3 linked regions of the Macaca mulatta genome follow. The protein of the gene in region 1 purifies or fractionates together with the protein of each later gene. This does not show direct contact. Links are inferred from orthologs where the notes say so. Each region holds a gene or a part of one and is shown on either strand. Other genes may lie near its edges. The genes, in order: RBM45, KPNA1 and FAM120A.

What was found.
Region 2: the proteins of RBM45 (region 1) and KPNA1 purify together in Homo sapiens (co-immunoprecipitation; 3 studies listed by BioGRID and IntAct, with this or other methods). This does not show direct contact. The link is inferred for Macaca mulatta from reciprocal best matches to the Homo sapiens genes RBM45 and KPNA1.
Region 3: the proteins of RBM45 (region 1) and FAM120A purify together in Homo sapiens (co-immunoprecipitation; 3 studies listed by BioGRID and IntAct, with this or other methods). This does not show direct contact. The link is inferred for Macaca mulatta from reciprocal best matches to the Homo sapiens genes RBM45 and FAM120A.

The regions. Positions count from the first base shown.
Region 1 is NC_133417.1:83,045,063-83,052,551, forward strand, and holds the start of RBM45 (RNA-binding protein 45), read left to right. Parts: upstream 1-2,521; 5' UTR 2,522-2,645; coding exon 2,646-2,945; intron 2,946-6,401; coding exon 6,402-6,524; intron 6,525-7,489. UniProt on the Homo sapiens protein: RNA-binding protein with binding specificity for poly(C). May play an important role in neural development.
Region 2 is NC_133407.1:161,249,488-161,257,020, reverse strand, and holds the start of KPNA1 (importin subunit alpha-5), read right to left. Parts: upstream 4,483-7,533; 5' UTR 4,401-4,482; intron 1-4,400. UniProt on the Homo sapiens protein: Functions in nuclear protein import as an adapter protein for nuclear receptor KPNB1. Binds specifically and directly to substrates containing either a simple or bipartite NLS motif.
Region 3 is NC_133420.1:124,034,264-124,041,674, reverse strand, and holds the start of FAM120A (constitutive coactivator of PPAR-gamma-like protein 1), read right to left. Parts: upstream 4,588-7,411; 5' UTR 4,392-4,587; coding exon 3,918-4,391; intron 1-3,917. Other genes in the region: uncharacterized protein FAM120AOS, read left to right, coding at 5,216-5,232, 5,720-5,840. UniProt on the Homo sapiens protein: Component of the oxidative stress-induced survival signaling. May regulate the activation of SRC family protein kinases. May act as a scaffolding protein enabling SRC family protein kinases to phosphorylate and activate PI3-kinase.

The sequences.
Region 1 (7,489 bases):
TTTGTTTTATGGAATCTTTTATCTTTTTTTGAGAAAAAAATTAACTGTTCTCAATAACAGCCTAAAATTTTCAGGACACCAATCAGTAGTCTTATTTCACAAAGAATAGAGATTGCCCAGTCAGAACAATTTGAGAAAATTACACATTTTCCACTAGATGGCACTGGTTTGCAAATAATACTGCTTTGCACTTCCTCTCATCAACAAAATTATTACACTATCAAATTATTTTCATTTACCTTGATTGTTGTGGATAGGATAAAGAGAAATGGAAAGTTAAGAAAAGATACTTCCTAGAGTTGCTCAGCCTCAGGGTAAACAGAGCCCTCATTACAGATATGGAATGTAATACAAGGAGAAATTATAAAAATCTTGTTAGTGCTAAATCCAGGGTAACAACCCACAATCCCTGACTCTCAGTAGTCATCACACAACTGTACAATATCAGGGGTGGGGAAGTGGATACCATAGTCAAAGGAAACAAGAAAATTAATCTCGATTGTGCCATTATACAAATATTATCTCATTTGATCTCTAAACTATGAACTCTATATATATTATCTCATATGAGCATAACTATACAAGGCTAAATGATTAACTCTGTGGGGGAGAAGAGTAATTATTTTGCTCAATACTACATCCCTTCAGTATAACACAGTGCCTAACACATATAAGATAGTCAAAAATACTTATTAAGTGAATGGGTGAATTAATTAAACTTGATAGTCATGCTCCTGCATATATTAGGTGGCTATCAAGCTTAACTAATGCAACTATAAAATAATATGTATTACCTATTTAGTAGGTAATATTATTCCTACTTTACAGTTAAGGAAACTGAAGCTGCAAGTATTAAGTAACTTGTCCAAGCTCCCACAATTCAGTAGCAAAACCATGTAACATGATCTGACATTACTTTGCATTATATATTTACATGTCAGATTTCCACAGTGGGGGAAAACAAGCCCTCAGGACATGTCTTTCCTTTTCCTCATTATATATCTAGCTCCTGGCATGGAGCCTGGCACATAGTTGGAGCACAGTAAATATTTATCTGGTTGACTTCATAGCAACCTAGGTCTTAGCATCCAGAACTTGTTCATTTGAAGAACTCTGCCCTCAGTCTACGTAGGGGTTTATTCCTTTCACTTCATTCCAATGCCACTGCTAAATCGAGACCTTGTTTCTGGATTTCTACTGGATTTCTGACCTCTCCTCTAAGGCCTGTTAGCAAGAAGGCGTTTCCCACTTTGCTTGCACTCTATGATTTCTCTTAGTTCCACAGGTGAGCAGTCCACCCTCACTGCCCTCCAACCCCAGGGTTGTTTGTAGAAGTTGAGTAAATCAACAGATGGAGTTAGTTCTGGGTTTTTTGTTGTTCATGTTTGAGACAGAGTCTCACTCTATCACCCAGGCTGGAGGGCAGTGCCGCAATCTCTGCCTCCTGAGTTCACGCCATTCTCTTGCCTCAGCCTCCTGAGTAGCTGGGACTACAGGCGCCCGCCACCACGCCTGGCTAATTCTTTTGTATTTTTTTAGTAGAGAGGGAGTTTCACCGTGTTAGCCAGGATGGTCTTGGTTTCCTGACCTCGTGATCCACCCGCCTCGGCCTCCCAAAGTGCTGGAATCACAGGCATGAGCCACCACTCCCGGCCAAGTTAGTTCTGGTTTTAGCTGTACTTTTATCTCTATTACTTTGGCTATGCTATAGGCCTCAGTTTCCTCATCTCTAACAAATGAGGTTGAAATGGAATGATCTCAAATGTTCCTTTCCACTCTAATGCTGTGTAGTTTGAACTCTGTCCTATATTGATTGTCTATTGAGCTTATGATCAAGATGATGACAAAGGACTCTCCTCTTTGACCAAAACTTAGTTAGGCTCCTCTGAGTCCTCTGCTTGACTAGGCTTGATCTTGGGCTGTCTGTCCTTGTAGAATCCAATTTCAGCAAGATTCAGTGTAGTGAATCAGTGTAGTGAAAATCCAGTATCTGACCACCATGGATATCAATCACCCTGGCCTGCCTTCAGCAAGTATCCTGTCAAGTTGGTTTAGCCAGAATCCTCCTTAACCCTGATGTACCCTCTTAGTAATTTTCCATCCACTGACCTCCCACCCAGCTTCTTGGTTAGAAATGTGTCCTTATTAGAGTCAAAATTCAGTCCAATCTCTCTCTCCCACTGCAAGACCCCATTGCAGCTGTCCCTGGACCTATCACCATGTCTCCTTTTGTCAAAGTTGGCCTTCCTGTACCATCTCTAATGAGTGTCATGAATAATTTTTTCTTTAACACTGGAAAGAATCCTTGGCCTTAGGGGTGGGGTAAAGCCAGCGTTGGGAAAGCCTGTGCAGTAGGCAGCGCTTTTCTGCCTGCAGGGAACAAGGATTACACAATTGATACTTGGGCTGAGGCTCAGCTGGGTTGGAGACTTAGACTGCGTCAGCGTCCCCCGCGTCGCCAGGGGGCGCTGCAGGCCGCTCCCCGGAAGGCCGCATCCTGCGCGGCTGGACAGCGCCTGGCGCAGGACTCCTCTCTCTCCCGGAAGCGGAGCAACGAGCCCGCAAAGCCTCGGTGTGAGATAGCAGTGGTGGCAGACACCGCAGAAGCAAAGAGCACTGAGGCTCTTGCATTCAGGTGGAGTACCATGGACGAAGCTGGCAGCTCTGCGAGCGGCGGGGGCTTCCGCCCGGGCGTGGACAGCCTGGACGAACCGCCCAACAGCCGCATCTTCCTTGTGATCAGCAAGTACACGCCTGAGTCGGTGCTGAGGGAGCGCTTCTCGCCTTTTGGCGACATCCAGGACATCTGGGTGGTGCGGGACAAGCACACTAAGGAATCCAAGGGCATTGCTTTCGTCAAGTTCGCCCGCAGCTCACAGGCCTGCAGGGCCATGGAGGAGATGCATGGCCAGTGCCTCGGCCCCAACGACACCAAGCCCATCAAGGTGCGGGTGCCCGGGTCGGGGTGCCCTCGGGGGAAGGAGTGGGCCTTTCGGACCTCCCTTCACCTGCCGCTCTGTCGGGGTGAGGGAGGAGTGGAACATCCGTTCCCGGCAGCTGACCAGACAGCACCTGGTGTAGGGACAGGGGCTGCTTTGAGGAGAGGCTCCCCTCCCACGAAGCTGCGCTGGGTTGCAGGGAAGGGGACGGGAAGCGGAATGTTTGCCCCCCGAGAGCGGACCAGGCAACCGCGGCCACCGGGTGACAGAACAGCAGTGGCTGGGCGTCCTCTCTCCCTCGCCCTCACTAATCCACCAGCTCTTGAGTTCACTGCCAAACTCGTCCTAGCCTACTTTGAGTACTTTTCTGACCTTCTTCTCTCAGATGCCCAGAATTTCCATTATAACAAACGGAAAAACTCTGCTTTTCCTCAGGTAGAGATGAGGTGTTAACAACTTGACAAAAGTACTTTAAACTGGGGACCTCTGGTGTTGGACGTTTTCCCAGTACCAGACAAAAGAATACATGTATATAATACTAAGTGCAGGTGTTTAAAACGGTCACTGTTACATATTCATCACATTTTGTTGTTTTGGAAGATTATTTTGAACGAGCTCTGTTTCTGAAAGTGTTAATAGCATACATTTGGTTCTTGACCCTTTCTGTTACTGCAAATTTTCTTTGAAAGCAGACCAAAGTAAACTGCCTTAAGAAGAGCCAAATCATTGTGATAATGACACATGTCAGGAAGGATCATTTTGAGGGTTATTTGACATAATCTGTGCTTTCAGCACAGTGCCTCGCACAGGGTAAGCCCTCAATATGTCCTTGTTGTTGATCGGTAATAGCCAAGATGTCACTGCTTACTCCCTGTGATCTCAAATCAGGACTCAGTCCTGAGAATCTGGCAATTGCTTAAATTGTACCCTTCGTCTGCCCCGTGTAAATAGTTGCTATGTATGTTATTCTGTTGGTACTTTGCACAAAAATATTTTCTCAATTTTTAAAAAAATTGTTTTCCAAATTGAGAATGGTATTATTATGGACTTATGTAAATAAAGGACTCAGAGATACTTCAGTCTCTGGAGGTCTTGCTCCATGCACAAAAGAGAAGGAGCCTGGGAATATACCAGTAACACGGTAAACAGTCCCTTCCTCCCACCTCTCCAACCCTCTGAAGTGTGTCAGAATAGGAGAGCAACAAAATTAATTTAGGGTCACAGCATACAGGATCAGGAGTTGACAAACTTTTTCTGTAAAGGGCTGGCTAGTAAATATTTTAGGCTTTGTGGGCCACATACAGTCTCTGTCACAAATCCTTGTCTGTTTTTACAGTTTTTAAGGACAGTTTTTACAGTCCTTAAAAACTGTAAAAACAGTTCTTACATCATGGGCTATACCAAAAATGGAGCTGTAGTTTGCTGACCTCTGTAGTAGACTGATGTGTTTCATCACTGTCCAATTATGACCTTAGTGGAGAGGGTTTTTATATTTTGAGTGTAACATGGCCACAGAGCCCATGTGGACAACCCAAGAAAAGGTGCCATATTTGAAATTGGTGGACCACCTTCCCCTGATAAATTTCTACAAGAGAAATTAAAGGCCCAGCACTGAAATGTACCTTCTCTTTTAGCTGCAGAGAAATTAAAGATCTTGTTCCCAAAAAGAAATAAACTACTATTTTCTTTGTCACATTTTTGACTATTCAGTTTTAGCCAGAAGGTTGTTTCACTGTAGTACCTAGCTAGACAGTCTAGTTTCATTTGTTTTCTTTCTTTCTTTTTTTTTTTTTTTTTTTTTTGAGACAGAATCTCGCTGTGTCACCCAGGCTAAAGTGCAGTGGCTTCTTGATCACAGCTCACTGTAGCCTCTACCTCCCAGACTCAAGCAATCCTCTTGCCTCATCCTCCCTCTCAAGTAGCTGGGACTACAGATGTGCACCACCATGCCCAGCTAATTTTTTTATTTTTCATAGAGACAGGGTCTCACTATGTTACCTAGGCAGGTCTCAAACTCCTGGGCTCAAGCGATCCTCCCATTTCAACCTCCCATTACAGTTGTGAGCCACCACACCCTAACAGCCTAGTTTCATTCAGCAGCTGCAGCTCGAGCCATCTTCGACTGGAACACTCTTGTGTTGTTTTCAGCATTTCCAGTTAAATTACTTCAGCTTCAGTATTTCTATCGTACTTTGCTTTTGCAAAGTTTCAGAGGATCTATAACACAAGAATATTATCATACCAGGCCTCAGCCAGAAAAGATTGTCCAAGTAAAAGTTATTCTGTGACCAACTATTTATCTGGCGGAAAGGGGGAAACCTAGAAAACAGAAGAAAAAAATCTTGGCTTTAGTTTTGCAAGAATGCTTCTTATCTAGAGCCTATGAACGCTCATAGTCTTTGAAGGTGAAAATTTATGGGAGAAATCTACCATGAGGAGGTTAATTATTTTACATACATTCTACATAGACTGTCTCCTTTGTCAGAGATTTGAAACACCTCAGTCCTCTAAAATGTAGAAATCTGTGTTCTGATGGCACTTCCAATTTCATCTTACCTGAGATTCTTTTTTTTTTTTCTCTAATGTCTTTGCATATACTTAAAGCTTCCCTATTTGTATTTCCCTATTTACCATTTATTACTGATATCAGCCACAAAACTCTAGTGGGCCATTTCTGTGTTACTCAATAGTTGTACTCATATAGTGCTTGACATATAGCATAGATTTACTGTAGGAATAACTAGAAGTAGACTATAAAGGGATATGTCTCTAATACTGTGGTTTTCTTAGTTGCTGCTTCCTACTCTGGAATTTCATAAGTTCCAGTTTTTTCATGCTTGGATGATATAGAGCCCCCTTTACCAGCAGTGGATTAGAGACCAAGATATAGAGACCCCTTTAAAGGAAAGAGAAACAAACAATGCAAGGACCCTTGTTTATGGTGTTTTAATTTATTATATTACATTTATTCAAATTGCTCTGGCTAAAACAAATGCAAAAGTAGAAATACATTTGGGAAACAAACAATGCAGAGATTGGTATTAGCTCGTAAAAAAAAGTCATTGCAGGCCCAGCACGGTGGCTCACACCTGTAATCCTAGCATTTTGGAAGGTCAAAGTGGGAGGATCACTTGAGCCCAGGAATTCGTGACCATCTTGGGCAACATAGCAAGACCTTGTCTCTATAAATGTTAAAAAATTAGCTGGGTGTTGTGGTATGTGTCTGTGGTCCCAGCTACTTGGGAGGCTGAGGTGGGAGGATCACTTGAGCCTAGAACGTTGAAACTGCAGTGAGCCATGATCACACCACTACACTCCAGCTTGGGTGACACAGCGAGACCCCATCTCAAAAAAAATAAATAAATAAAAAGTCATTGCAAGAATAATTGCTTTTGAAAAAAATTTAAGAAATGGGAAAATAGTTGACATTATTTTATTTTGGGAGTTTTGTTTGTTTCTTAGGTTTTCATTGCACAGTCCCGATCATCTGGAAGTCACCGAGATGTTGAAGATGAAGAACTTACAAGAATCTTTGTTATGATACCAAAGTCCTACACAGAGGAAGATCTGCGGGAAAAATTTAAGGTACTTATTCTAATCAGCTAGCATATGTGATAACTCATAGTCCTATACAGGTTGTATGGGTACTAAATCTGAAGTGTCATTGGAATAAGGTCAATAGAGTAGTCGTGGGGAATTATATAACTGTTTTCATCAATTTCAATCTACTTTTTAAATATTAAACCTAGCATAAATTAGTTTTCAAAATTAAAGAATATATAAAAACTGGAAAATAGTAATGGTAGTCTCCCCCTACTTTATTGTGAAAGTAGAGATTCACAGAAATGAAGTATAAAACTCAGAAACTTTTAAGTAAAGTCACACAGTTAGTAGGTCGTAGAGCTATGATTTAAACCCAGGCTATCGGAGTCTGGAGCCTGCTCTTGGTCTTTAAAATTTCAAAGCATGCTCTTTTCACTCCCCTCTGTTGCCTGGCATGTAAAGGCGAATCAGGCAGACCTGAGTGTGTGAACTGTATTATCTAGTATTTAGAAAAGGCCTATGGTATGTTGACATGGTACTCATTCACAGAAAGGCTTATTTTTTGAAGAGTTTTTGTCCTAAAATTGGGCCTTTGAAGGAGTTATATTTAAAGAAGAAAACATAAGTATAGCTCTGACCTATATAAATGAAATTTGAGGATAATTTTAAGTCTTTTTAGCCATTAACTTATGCAGTGATAAGCTTTCACACAGATTATTAAAAAGCAATTTTTAAATTGTTTTGAGTTGTAGTTCTTTATCTTTTTTCTACTAATCCTACCATGATTTGGGTGGCAACAAGCAAGAAAGAAAACAAGCAGTAAAAAGTAATTTTCAAACTTTCACTCCTACCCCAATTGAGAATTCAATAAAATACTTCAAAAATAGTAAATACCAAAAACATATATTTTATGCCTCCTCCAGTGGTAAGGAAAATGTTTTTTACCTTAAATATTTATAAATTTTTATCTTTTCCTGAATGAACAAATATTACACTTTAATCTAGTG
Region 2 (7,533 bases), on another chromosome or scaffold:
CAGGAAAACAACTATGAAATAGGACTAGAAAGTAACTAGTCCTAATTGCATTAAGAGGTTCTAGGTTAGCTGTCTCACAAAATGAAGCAAACAACAACAAAAAATACTAACTTCTAGAAAAACAAAAATTTATCAAGAGAAGAAATGATATCATAGTACTCTACATGAGTCAGCTGTGAACATTTATATAGTTATAATATTGTAAACACTAAATATTGGTTTAATAAACACCTGTAACTATATTTGGAGGATGGCAGAGTCAGTGTGTGCATGTGACAGGTGAGGTGAATATATATGTGAAACACTAAGGATCATCTTACTTAGAAGAAAGCCAATAATATCTATAATTGCTGTATCATGAAATAGCAGTAAAAGCAAGTCACTGTATTTGTAAATATGAAAGCAAACATAAGAAACAGGAGAAAGAAAATGGTAGCTTCTCAAGTGCAGAGGCTGAGACAAGGAACAGCTGCTTTTTCAGGTATTCTAATTTTAAATTTTTATTTTTTTAATGTTGACAAAACAAGGAACTTGAACAATCTCACGATGGTTATATTTTCAGTATTATTTCATGGTGTTAAACAAACTACATCTAGTTTGTTTTGCCAAAGAGACTGAACGGCTAAAACCAATCTTTAACGATCAATGTGAACACAGTACAAACAGCCCTACTTGAATCCCAACTTCACTACTTTGTGAAGTAAGGCAAGTTACCCAATCACCTTGCACACGTAATCACCACCTCAAAATGGTTTTGCAAGAACAATTAAGTGAAAGCAACTGATGCAGAACCTGACCCATCAACAGATAGTATTTTCGGCAGGTCTTTCTGTTCCTTAGCTGCAAACGCCTATTCTGACCCCAAGCTGCCTCGCTGCTCACAGACTATATAGGGACTCATGGACAACTCAGCACATATCCCTCCTCACACTAGAAAATCAATCATGATGAATAAGCAGACTTATCTTTGTATATGAAGGGCAGCATTACTGTTGTTATATGAAGGAGATTATCCCCATTATCCACATTCTGGATTACTGCCTGCTTTCAAGAACTGTCCCAATTAGTCTACAGCACTTGGACAGAACCATTTTTTCATGTTCTGTTTTGTAGATTTGTAACATCTTAAAAAAAAAGAAAGAAACATACATTCCCATAGTCTTCATCCCTACTCTTCCAATGTTTCCAAAATTTCCAAAATTTTCTAATGCTGGCCCTATCTGGTCTCCAGTTGGCCTGAGGCCATCTCCTGCTTACCACAGCAAAAGAGAGAAATCAGCCCAAATCAGCTAATTAACTATTCACCACTTCCAATGTTTTCTTCCGTATTATGGCTAAATTCATAACACCATGCAAAGTACAAAGATACCTTAAAACAAAACAAGGCGTTATCTTTTATCACTAGGTCAGTCATCTTTACTTGCAAGACCAATCAAAGGTCTTAATTGATTTTATACACAGTATTCATACACCTAAAAACAATCTGGCAGACTTAAAAGCACAGACTTCATAAATCATTAAAACTCTATTTTATCATTAATTCAACAAACACTGCTAAAACACTGAAGATGAAAACAATAGGATATAATCCTATTCTCAAATGTAAAGGGAAAAGGACCATCGAGAGCAACAGAGAATAAAGAAAATAATCCAGGAAACAACTGACAGCAATTCCAGATTACGTATAAAATAATTTTTAACATAGTTGAGACTAAAGAAAATTATAAAAATTGAACACAGCTCTGAGCCTCCTGACAGTCAAAAGTATGGAGAAACAGGATGGCTTACAAAACAATCTAATAAAACCAGTCATCTGTTTTTAAAAAAAAAAAAAAAAAAAGCTTAATACTGGGGTCTTAGGAAGAATTTGTCTCCAAGGTCTGTATTTTATAGGAACCAATAAATAAATTAGAAATTTCTTCATTAGATGTAAATGAAGAAAATGTTTTTCATGGCCCCTTTTGGTATGTATCAGTTCTAGATAAGATGTATATTAAATCATAGTTCTGTGAAGAAACTTCTATGAGAACCACTTTATAAAGTAACATAATGCAGCTGGGCGCAGTGGCTCATGCCTGTAATCCTAGCACTTCAGAAGGCCGAGGAGGGCGGACCGCGTGAGCTCAGGCGTTCGAGACCAGCCTGGGCAAGACGGTGAAACCCCATCTATACTAAAATACAAAAAATTAGCCGGGTGTGGCCGTATGCGCCTGTAGTCCCAGCAGTCTCAGGCAGGAGAACTGCTTGAACCAAGGAGGCGGAGATTGCAGGGAGCCTGCAGGGAGCCCAGATCGCATCACTGCACTCCAGCCTGGGCAACAGAGCAAGTCCTCCACACCCCCCCCAAAAAATAATAAAATTAAAAATAACATAATGCAAGAACAGTGATTTCAGGTGATACCTTTCCCATTTAGTTTATTCTAGGTTTTTATAAATGTATGTTTTGTTGCCCTACAGGACTGTAAATTCCTCAAGGCTTATGTTGTCTGCTTCCATTTCAACTGCCTTTACTATTTAGTAGAGTGCTTTACAGTTGCTACTCAACTATAACTGATAAAATGTTATGCAGTCAATATTTGTAATATTAGCTTTCCCCGCTACACTATAAATTCCATGAGAACAGTGACAGTGAGTTTTGATCGCGACTATATCCCTCCAAATCTAGAAGATCACTCTATAAGTATTCGCTGATTGAACGGATTAAATAAAGAAAACACAACGAAAAAGTATGAAAGGAGAGAAATAATTTAAATGGCAGTAACTTTGGGTTCTAAGGTTGTTCTCAATAAGAGCTAGAAGACCTCAGGTAAGTTACTTAACATTTGATTGTCAATGCTTTCATCTGTAAAATAGAAAAATTAACAGATATTTCAGATTTAAATGTTTTTAATATATATATAAAGCATTTAACACAATACCTGAAAAAGAACTCAATAAATGTTAATTCCTTTACTTTCTCTTACATCTCATCTATCCATAAAACAGTGCCTTCCAGGAATATATTATTTCAGTAAAAATACAACAGTACTCATTCTTACTTTCCTTTGAAAAATTAAATTTTCATCTCTTTAATCTTTAAAAAGGAGGGAAAAATAATTTGTGGACTGCTTTCAAAATATTACAAATGCAAAAGCTAGTTAAGAAAAAAACAGTGTCGAGAATGAGCCTTGTTGGTGGCACCCGCCTGTAGTTCCAGGTAATGGGGGGGATGCCTTGAGGCCAGGAGTTCCAGATCAGCCAGGGAAACAAAGCTAGACTCCATCTCTTAAGAAAAAAAAAACAGGAGGGGGGAAATCACCTTATCTACTAATAGAGATTTTTAAGCAACCGTTTATTTAAGAAAAAACGGTGAAATTCAAGTTAATATTACTTGACAGTACCCGTTTCAGAAAAAAAAAAAATACTCTGCATTGCTGGGTGTGGTTGCCCGAGACTAGTCCCAGCTACTTGGGAGGCCAAGGCAGGAGGCCAGTTTGAGCTCAGGAGTTGGGAGTACAGCCTAGGCAATATAGCGAGACCCCATCTCTTTAAAACACAAAAATTCGGCAATCGTTTGTTCCGAGTTGAAACCTTAAAAACGAAATATTTTGAACGCTTTCACTTAAAAGTGGAACACGACCCAATCCCAAAAACATTACTTCATGACGACTCCCTTGACTCCAGTCATCCTTCAGTTTTATCCTCCAGTTGTGAGCTTAATCTGATACCTAGCTGTTTCCCTCGCATCGCCACTTTAACACGCGGTGTGCAGACCAAGTTCTGTCATTCCTGTAATTACCACACCCCCAATCAGCCGCTACAGGCCCCTGTTGTTATGACATCTGTAAACTGCAGCCGGTCGTCTCCACCTCCCCGCGCCCCCGCCCCGCTTCCCCTACCTCCCTCCGGGCCGCCGGCTCCGACCCGGGCTGTAACTTGTGAATTCCCAAGACGGTCCCTTCTTGCCAGGGTTAGAAATTTTACACGCCACCCCTGCTCCTTCCTGCCTCTGTCAGAGCGCTCTGCACGGCCCACCTCCGCCTCCCGCCCGCCGCCCAGCCACGGCGCAGGCTCCGCGCTCGCCTCCTCTCCGCCCGCTGCCTCGGCACTCCGCAGTCCCCGGCGCCGCTTACAGCCCTGCCGCCGCGCCACGCCGCCCCGCCCCGCCTCGACCGGCGTTCCCGATGGCGATCACACCAGGGCTCCCCACCCCCACCCTCTCCTCCGCCGGCCGCGCGGCCGTTAGGACAGCAGGGCCCGTGACGCACGGACGCGGGCCGAGCGTCCGGGCCCAGGCACCGCGGCTCGAGGCCCGGCCGGCGCCCGCCCTCGCCCCAGGGCCTCTCCCGAGTCCCTCCCGGACTGCCCGGATCTGCCGGCGGGAGGGGGAGGGGCCGGGGCCGCAAAGCCCCCGCACTCACCAGGCTCAAGGCAACCGATCCCGGTGCCACCGCTGAAGTGAGCCCTCGCTCGCCCGCCCGCCGTGCCGCTCCCCGCGCACAACCTCGAAGAGCTGGCCCGCGCCTCGGCGGTGCTCAGCAGGCCTCGCTCTCCGCCGCCGCGCACCTAGCAGCAAGACTCAGCTCTGCCGGCGTTCGCAGTGCGCCTGCGTGCGGGGGCCGGCCCGAGCGCCTACGCGCGCCCCTCCGGCGCTTGCCGCAGAGGCTGCCGGGAGACGTAGTCTTGTAACGCTCTCTCGCCGCACGTTCCTAGCGATTCTCGCCCAGCCTGCGAAGAGTCGGGGATCGGGGAGAGGAGAGGGTCTCGCTAAGAAGGAGGTTTGCAGACCATAACAAAGGTTGGAGAAAGTTATATGTGCAAACCTGTCTTTGCTAAGCTCTTCCAGGGCGGATCGATGTTCACCTCTGTATAGCTTCTAACAAAGTAGGTAACTAATACGCGTTGATGGAATGAATGATGGAATGATTGAAGACTGAGGGAGTATTACAAAATTAGTAGGTCAGCGCCTCGTGTCTAAAGGGCTCACATGCAGTATGAATGCAAGAAGCTTCTGGACATTCCTTTTTTAGTTATGTCCCATCCCCTTTGCTTGATAATGTATGAGTAGTATCAAAAATAATTAAGTGCCGGGTGCAGTGGTTCACACCTGTAATCCCAGCACCTTGGGAGGCCTAGGCCGGTGGAATACTTGAGACCAGGAGTTTGAGACTAGCCTGGGCAACATCGCGAAACCCCGTCTCTACTAAAAATACAAAAATTAGCCGGGGGTGGTGACGGGCGCCTGAAGTCCCAGCTACTGGGGAGGCTGAGGTGGGAGAATCACCTGAGCCCGGGGTTGACGATGAGGCTGCAGTGAGCCGAGATCGCACCACTACACTCCAGCCTGGGCAACCGGAGTGAGACCCTGCCTCAAAAAAAAAAAATAATAATAATAATAATTAAGAAACTACATGAAACACAAATACTCGTTTAACTCTCAAGTGCTCTCAAACGAAAACTTGGAGCAAATGATTGTTAATGTTAAATTTGATGGAATTCTTTGGGGGAGCAAATGGAGTAGTGGCTTCAAAAGAAAAACTGAAGCCAGCCTAGCAGGGGTCACAGAATAGTAGATAGATTTAAAACATATGCCAAGAAGCAAGGTAAAAGAGATGAGGTAGATTAGTACATTTATAAATGTCCCAGGGAAGAGGAGAAGACAGAGGACCACTCTACCTGAATCCTAGGTTATGCAATGTTCATTTGTCCTGGACTTCACTCTGCTGCATCAGCATTCTCCCGCGATGTGTTTACTAAGATCAGAGTTGAGTTTGAGCAATGTGGCTGGGGAAAGGGAAGGTGTGTTCACCAGGAGAGACTTAAGGGCAAGTTTGCCTGACCCCAGCTAGACTGAAGACAGATCACCTTATTCCAATAAGGAGGTAAGATTGATTATTCAGAGCTGGTCTTCAGTCTTCGGGAAAGCTAATTTATTTCCAGTTCACCCTTAATCCTAGCTAGTCCTTGATGGTCCCATCCAAAAGTCTGGGCTATTTACTCAGGCCTCTTCTCTTTGATGGGCCTTCTAAGGCCCATGAGACAACCATAGGCTCTGCTCACTTTTTCAGCCACTGCTTTCAGAGTCAGCAATCACCTTAGCTTTGGAAAAATGATGACAAATATCAGGCTCACCTCTGGTGGCTTCCTTTTTCTTCCAGATCTTGCACTCACAAATTCTCACTTCCTTGGTAGCTCTTCAGTACATTAACGTTTTTATATTTTGTCCAGTTGTTCTCTGTAGTGGAAAGGTTGATTGAAAACAACAGTAGGCCATTGCTGGAAGTTGAAGTCCTATGTATGTTACTTTTACAAAAGTGTTATCTTACTGTACATGATGTTTTATAAGCTAATGTCTCTCTGACAATATCATTTTATATTTTGAGAAATTTGAAATTATAGAACAGTATTTTTTGTTATCACAAACAATGCTACTATGAACATTCTTGTACATCTCTACTGTGTATAGGGAAACTGCTAGATCCTAGGACATTGCATCTTTAACCTTACTGTATATATTAGATAGAAATCTAAGATGGCCCCTATAATCTCTGGTCCCTGGTGTTGCCTATATAATCTCCACCCCTTGAGTGTAGGTGGGACCTTTGACTTACTTCTAGCCAACAGAATATGGCAAAGATGATAGGATGTCACTTCCATGATTCCTTTTCATTATATAAGACTGTCTTTCCAAACTGGAGCTAGAGATTTGCTGCTGGCCTTGAAGAAGCAAGCTGTCATGTTGTGAACTGCCTATGGAGAAGACCACATGCCAGGGAACTGCAGATGGCTTCTAGAACTTGAGTGCAGCCTCCAGCTGACAACCAGTAAGAAGCCAGGGCCCTCAGTCATACAACTACAAGGAAATGAATTCTGCCAACACCCTGAGAGAGGTCAGCCTCCAGATGAGAAGACAGCCTGACTTACACCTTGATAGCAGTTTTGTGAGATCCCGAGCAAAGGAAACAGCTAAACTGTGCCTGGACTCCTGGTCCACAGAAACTGTGAGATAATAAATGTGTCTTCACATACTATATTTATGGTAATTTATTATACAGTAGAAAACTAATACACTAGACATTGCTGGATTATTTCATAAAGTAATTGTACCCATTTGTACTCTATAAACGGTATATAAGATACTCTTCACTTGCTAACAGTTAGAAATGTCTGGCTTTTTACATTTTTGCCAATCTAACATATAAATTACTTGAACATAAAAACATGAAAAATAGATATTTACTTAGAATTGTGTATTCTGTTGTATTTCTTTTCTGTTGCATAAATGCAATTAAATAAAATAGCAGGCTGGGAACAGTGGCTCATGCCTGTAATCCCAGCACTTTTGGAGGCTGAGGCAGGAGGATCACTTGAACCCAGGAGTTCCAGACCAGCCTGGGCAACATAACAAGACCCCGTCTCAACACACAAAAAAATTAGTCAGCCATGGTAAGTCGCACCTGTAGTCCCAGCTATTCAGGAGACTGAGGTGGGAGGATCACTTGACACCAGGAGTTTGAGCACACCACTGCACTTCAGTGTGGTGACAGAACAAGA
Region 3 (7,411 bases), on another chromosome or scaffold:
TAAACCCTTACACTGATACCACAAGTCATATAGCAGAAACATTTATGAAAGCTCCAGTGACCAAGATTTTAAAATAAACATAAGTCATTTACTGAAGTTTCAAAGGTTATAATGACCCAAAGCACACAACAGGAAACTGTCCAAGTAACTAGCTAAAACCAAGTTCAAATTAGGCTATTTCAGGACCTATCCAAAACTAGTCAATACACAGGCCAACGTATTATTACTATTTTCATTGTTCTGGCTCTCCTTCCACGTAGACCAACTTCTAATGGTTAAAGAAATACAATTACTACTACTGAACAAAAAATACAATTATTACTCTGTAAATGAAATAAACTCTAAGTCAAAAAAGATTTCTCCTGGCCGGGCACAGTGGCTCACACCTGTAATCCCAGCACTTTGGGAGGCTGAGGCGGGTGGATCACGAGGTCAGGAGCTCAAGACCAGCCTGGCCAAGATGGTGAAACCCCGTCACTATCAAAAACACAAAAATTAGCCGGGCATGATGGCAGACACGCCTGTAATCCCCGTTACTAGGTAGGCTGAGTCAGGAGAATCGCTTGAACCTAGGAGGTGGAGGTTGCAGTGAGCCAAGATCACGCCACTGCACTCCAGCCTGGGCAACACAGTGAGACTTCATCTCAAAAAAAAAAAAAAAAAGATTTCTCTAAGCAAGGGTAACAAGAAATTATGCCCCTCCGCCAATTTACGAAACACGAGAAAGCACCAGTAAGATGCTTAAAGTTTTCATAAATGTCTCATTTACCCAATATTATATATACTGAAGTGTTCATGTCAATTCCTTTGCCAGTGGTTTTTACTTAATTTTAAAAAAATTACCATACGATAAAATTAACACGTTTACTTTGGATGAATCATTCTGATTTTAATGTATGGTAGCATCACCACCATCAGAATACAGAACAGTTCCATCACTCCACAAAGCTCTCTCCTGCTGTCCCCTTAATGTGTACATCCTTCCTCTCCTCTACTCTCAGCACCACTGAATTGGTCCCCATCACTATAGTTTTATAATCATCCCTTTTGAACCTGGCTTCTTTCACTCAGTATAAAACCTTAATTAAAGATTCATGCAAGTTGTTACCTACACCTTCCTTACTATTGCTAAGCAGCATTCTATAGTATGGCTATACAGTAGTTTAACCATTCACTTATTAAAAGATATTTTGTTTCCACGTTTTGGCTATTATGATTTAAGCTGCTATGGACATTTGAGTACGAGTTTCTGCGCAAACAAAAGTCTTCATTAGGAAAATACCCAGGAGTGGAATTGCTGGATGGTATGATAAATGTATGCTTAACTTTATAAGAAACTGCCACTGTTTTCTGGGGTGGCGGTGCCATTCTGCATTCCCACAAGCAATGTGTAAGGATCCAGTTGCTCAGCATTCTTGCTAGCACTTGGTATTGCTCAAATTTTTTTCTCTTTTAGCCATTCTAATAGGCCTGTAGTGATACCTCATCATGGTTTTAAACCTTTTAACCATTTTATGGGTATATTTTGTTAAGTGGTATACGCTGTTTCGATCCCTTAAACAGAGAATGCTGAATATTAATTGTTATGACTCCCAATCATCCTTACAGAAAACACATTGTACTACCCTCAGGGACCACTGAAGTACATAGGGTTGTTCTCCTTTTCTTAAAATAGCCCCAGAATCATGTTTGCTTTTTATAGCTTTTTAAATCTTCACTCTTGTTGTCACTTCTTGCTATTAATGGTGCTCCTGCCTCTGGCAGACTCTCCTCTTCACCCTCTTCTCAAGCTGAGTTTAGAAAATAGATAACCAAGCTTGTTAGAATTACATCTAAAAAGAGACCAGTCCGTGAGTGAGAGAGCTTAAAAGGATTTTTCAGTGAGGAAAGTAAAGGCACCCCCCCACGCCCGCCACCCCCCACAACTTCCTGACATCTTGCTTGGTTGCTGAGAAATTTCTAGTAGCTAAATCTCTCAGGCACTTTTCAAAAAAGTAAGGTTGCCAGCTAAGAGACCACCAAGTAATCGAGTCATTACAATATTCATTTTGTGCAATTTACACTATAATATGATCCTAGCTCAATAATTAAAAGCTTAGCAAAAGCAAAATATAGACAAAATTATCCCGTGTCCAGAAACCTAAGTGAAAAAGACGATCTGAAATGGAGCTTAAATCTAGTTTCCAAACACTTACACATTGGTCTGAATTCTGAGCACCTACTAGGTGTGCGAGGCATTCAAAGGGGTGCAAAGATAAAGAAACTGTAGAATTAAAAAGAACTCAACAGTTCTTTAAAGATACAGTGACCATATGCATACACACTGATTCTAATCCTAAGTAATATTCAGTGTTCCCTTGAAACTCGCCTGACTAGTTAAGTAGATAGCTGTGCGGTTACCAAAGGCAAGTGCAGCCCATCCTGTCTTTTAAGTAGTCTTTTCCATCTCTGAACAAGACCAAACTTTGAACACTTTTACGCTCTATTAGGAAGATGGATCGCTTCAGACAAATGGCAGCACCTTACTTCCCTGAGCGCCCCAGGCTCCGATTCAGAAATTACTAGGCAGGCACTTCCTCTCACCCGAACTTCCCTGAGGAATGGCAGCTGTGTGTCTGCCAGGCGCAGGGGCCAATCGGGACTCTGCCGGCCGCCTCCACCCACGACTTAAACACCATCTCACCAATTGCAACCGGATCGTGGGTGGGACTTCCGCTATCATTTTAGGCTTAACTACCACCATCTCCTCGCGGGCACCGGGGGCAACCGCGAAGACAGAATTTCACAAACTTTCAGCTCCAGCAGTTTCAAGGAAATGTCAAAGAATGACAAGATGGAAGGCAGAGTGGCGAGAGCTAAGACACCAAAAAGGCCCCCAAAATTTGTTTTCAAGAAAACCAATGAAAAAAGCAAGCAATCAGAACGTGAAGTCCAGGATCATGTCTGTGCTTATCTCCACAGTCACTGCTGGGTCCTGAAGTTCTCCTCTGGCCCAGTGCCAGCTGCGGAACCCTCTGCCAAAGGGCCAGAGGAGGCCGGTGATGTAGAGCTCTGATTACCCACCCGTCAGGGCGCCGCTGAAGGTCACTGAATACTTACTGTGCACCCGAAAAATAAATCCTGCGAGTTCACGCCCCGTGTAGCTCGCCCCCTGACTTTGAAGGACTCCTTTCGCGTGGGATCTACAAAACCGAACTGCCTTAAAGACCTCTTTCACACCGACGTGAAGTCACAGAACTGACAAATCCCATCCTGTCAAAGTGCACGGTTCTTTGAAATCTAACACAAAAAGTCATAGAAAGATTCTCTAAACACCCTGTACTAAGAGGAACACGGACAGGGCACTGCGTTCTGAAGTAGAGGCCAGGGCACTGGCCCTTAGACACGTCTCGCTGTCACCGGGCTAACAGCATTGGCAAGGGCGGCGGCGGCAGCAGTGATATCTGCAGCCCCCGAGGGCCCTGGCGAAACCCCCTCTATTACTCTGTATCCTGCTTGCTTCCGAGATGAACCTGTTGCTGGGAAAGAACAGGCTAAATTAGAAAAGGGAGTCATATTTTGTCAAAGTTGAAGGTGAGTGATAGCCTGCCCGCCCCCACAGGACGGGAAAAACTAAGGATATTCGGGATGATGACACTGCCGCCTCCGAATTCTGGTCCGGTGCTCTCTCCCAGCCCTCAGGTGTCCCCACGCGGCCGTGGACCCCGAACAGGGACAGCTGGAGGCGGGCTTGGGCAGCGCGCGGCCTGCACCCGCGGCCATCCATCTTGCGGCCCGGCCCGGCTATCCCGAGCCAGGGCAGGGGGAGCTCGCTGCCCCCAGCGCCGCCACGGCCGGGCGACATTCTGTGCCCTGGGAAGGGGCATAGGGGTGCGGCGCGGCCCCGGTCCCCGGCCCGCCCGGATCCCCGGCCTCACCTTGACGTGGAAGCGGATGAGCGCCAGGCGGATGCAGTGGGCCATGCAGACGGGCGGCAGGAACCAGACCTTGGGCGGCGGGGTGCCCTTGTTCTGGACATGGCTGACGATCTGCTGTGCCGTCTGGCGCTCGTTGCCCTGCCGCTTGACCCACTCGTGCAGCCGGGCCTTCTCGAGCGCGCCGTTGAAGAAGACGAAGAGCTCGATGTTGCCGCCGAAGCAGGCCTTGGCCAGCGCCGCCAGGTAGCCAAGCATGTGGTTCCACTGGCCGCCGCTGACCCAGTCGGTGTAGAAGCCACCGTAGAGGCGGTGCAGGCAGTTGTCGGCGTCCACCAGCAGGCGCAGCGGGGTCTGCGGGGGCCGCTGCCGCCCGCCGCCCACCAGGCTGCCCCGGGCCAGCTTCTGCAGCTCCACCGGCACCACGGCGCTCGGGCAGTGCTTCTCGATGTAGTCCTGGAAGCCCTGCACGCCCATGGCGGCGGCGGGGGCGCGGGCGCGGGTGCGGGCGGGGGGCGGCGGGGCCGGGGGCGGTGGGGCCGTGGCGCGCGGGCGGGCGGGCGGGCGGGGGCGGCGGCCTCTAGGGGGGACTGGGGCGGGTCGGGGGCGCGCTCATGGCCGCCGCGGCCGCCATGTGCTGCCGCCTCCCAGGGCCATGTCTGGGGAGGGACCTGCCGCCGCCGCCGCTGCCGCCGCTGCGAGGCCGAGGCCGAGGCCGAGGCTGAGGGCCGGGGCGGGGCGGGCGGGCGGCGCTGACGTAGCGGACCCGCCCGGCGCGGACGCCGCCCAGGCCCGCGCAGGCCCGCCGGCGAGCAGGCGGAAGAGGCGGCGCCGGCGGGACGCGGTTCGGGGCTCCCGGAGGCGGCTGCGGCGGAGGCGGAGGCCGGGAGTCGGGCCGGGGCGGGATCCAGGGGGCGCCTGAGCCGGAGCAGGCCGCGCCTGGAGGCCACAGGCCGCTCGCCCGCCTCAGGCCCGTCGGCCGCCGCTCCCCTCCTGGCGGCCTGTTCCCCGCAGGACCAGAGAGGCCGCCGCCGCCGCCCGGCGGTACTCCGGCGAGGGAAAGCCGCGAAGCAGGTCCTGGGGAAGAGCTCGCCTGCTCCTGAGGGAAGCGGCGATAAGATGGAGCTTTGAGGGTGAGCCGGAGGCCGAATTACTCTGCTCGTCGGGACGCAGCCTTTCTAACGCCACGGTGGGCTCGCACCGCTCTGGGCCTGCTGCCCACACTGACTGCGGGGTCCGGGGGAGCGGGATGCTGGCCGGCCGCGCCGGGCTTCTTGGAAAGAGCAGGAAGGAGCGCGAGAATGCAGTTCCGCGGCAGGTGCTCATCCCAGCAGCTTCGGGCTCTCGGTTGTAGTGGTTTTTACACCTATGACAAATGACATGGCCAAACGCACCATAATGTCTGAAGGTACAGGTAGTCCTAAGCGCCTGCTCGTCACGGAAGAGACTGTCTTGAGAGCACAGGTCTGTTGCAGCGTGGAAAGCCTGCGTTCCCACTGCGGAATGGCCAGGCTGAAACGTGCGCCTTTGCAGTGGGTCGCCCTGCCCTTCTTAGGGAGAGGGATTTAAATCTTGTTGGTTTAGTAGCATCTTCTGGAAGGAGGTCGTTTACGTAAATTCTGTTCCTAAGCGCTGTCGTAATTGCTTCTAAAATGAGGTTGATACTGTATGTATATTAGGCTTGCATAAAACATTTTCAAAAAGAGATTAATGCCTTTCAGAATATAAATTTAGAAACCCAGCACAAAAGTTTTAAAGTGCCGCTTTTACTTACTTTCACCTCTCCATCTGTTCTTTTTCTGGAGAAACCTCTGTAGAGGAGCAGGATGCAACCGACAGGCTGTGGCCGGACAGCCCCTTCCCAGCACATGGAGCCTGCACGCGCACGATTTGGTCAAAGAAGCCCCCATACTCCCGGTGAAAAAGGCAAGTTTGATTTTTCTGCTTTCTTTTCTGATAGCCACGTCAGATACAAGCCAGTATCATATATACATAAATTAAATGCTGTTGGTATTTTAAGAAGTTACATTTAAAAACAGACTGACAAGTTATGCCACTCACTTATGCATCAAATTAGTCACAAAGCCAGGATGACATGTTATCTAGAAATAACACAGGCCAGGTGCGGTGGCTCACGCCTGTAATCCCAGCACTTTGGGAGGCCGAGGCGGGTGGATCATTTGAGGTCAGTAGTTCGAGACCAGCCTGGTCAACATGGTGAAACCCCGTCTCTAGTAAAAATGCAAAAATTAGCCGGGCCTGGTGGTGTGCGTCTGTAATCCCAGCTACTCGGGAGACTGAGGCAAGAGAATTGCTTGAACCCGAGAGGCAGAGGTTGCAGTCAGCACAGATGGTGCCACTGCACTCTCTAGCCTGGGCATCAGAGCTAGATTCCATCTCAAAAATAAATAAATAAAAGAAATAATACAGTTAGCCATTAAATAATAAGGTAAAATCCAGAAATATCCAAATTTCCTTCTATAACCCAAGGCAGGTTCACAAGGTGAGGAGTAGTAGTTTTTAATCACTTGTATTTTCATTCATAGCATTGCATTCCATGTATTTACCTTTTCTTTAAATACTCTTGCTTTTAATTTTTAAAAATGCATTAGTACGGCCGGGCGTGGTAGCTCACGCCTGTAATCCCAGCACCATTGGGAGGCCGAGGCGGGCATATCACAAGGTCAAGAGATCGAGACCATCCTAGCCAACATGGTGAAACCCCACCTCTACTAAAAACACAAAAATCAGCTGAGCGTGGTGGCGCACACCTGTAGTCCCAGCTACTCGGGAGGCTGAGGCAGGAGAATCGCTTGAACCCGGGAGACGGAGGTTGTAGTGATCATGCCACTGCACTCCAGCCTGGCAACAGAGCGAGAGTCCATCTCAAAAAAAAAAAAAAAAAAAAATGCTAGTGCCAGTATCTGAAATTCTGGAAATAAATTTATTTTCACCTTATTACATTGTAGAGTTCTAAGGTTCTGGAGTCAGACCCCCAGCATCTGTCTTTTGATAAGTCTGTGCCGTTGCAAAAATATTTACCCTGTTTGAACCTTGAATTTTATCATCTGTAAAATCAACATATTAATAGTACTTAACCTCCCAGGTTGTTTTAAGGATTAAATCAGATAATCTGTGTGCCTACCACACAACAAATGCTCAATAAATGTTGACTTTTGTAGTTATTTCCAGAAACTGTATTTGTCTAGACTTATACTCGAGAACATAGACCAGTTATTGTACTTTTGGAAAGTTTAAAATTCATTATTGTATCATAACACATAAAACTCAATTCTTAGTTGCCCTATTTAGCTGTGTGTTCTTTTTTTTAAAAAAAAAAAAACACTTTTTTTGTTGAGTAACTATTGATGGCAGGCAAAATATTTAGCTGACAAACGCTTATATACTCTGCATTCTCAGCTCAAATTCGGGGGTTGTTTGAAGTTAAATTGCTTAAATGTTGAGGTAAAAATAAACATCTATGTTTAAAATTTAAT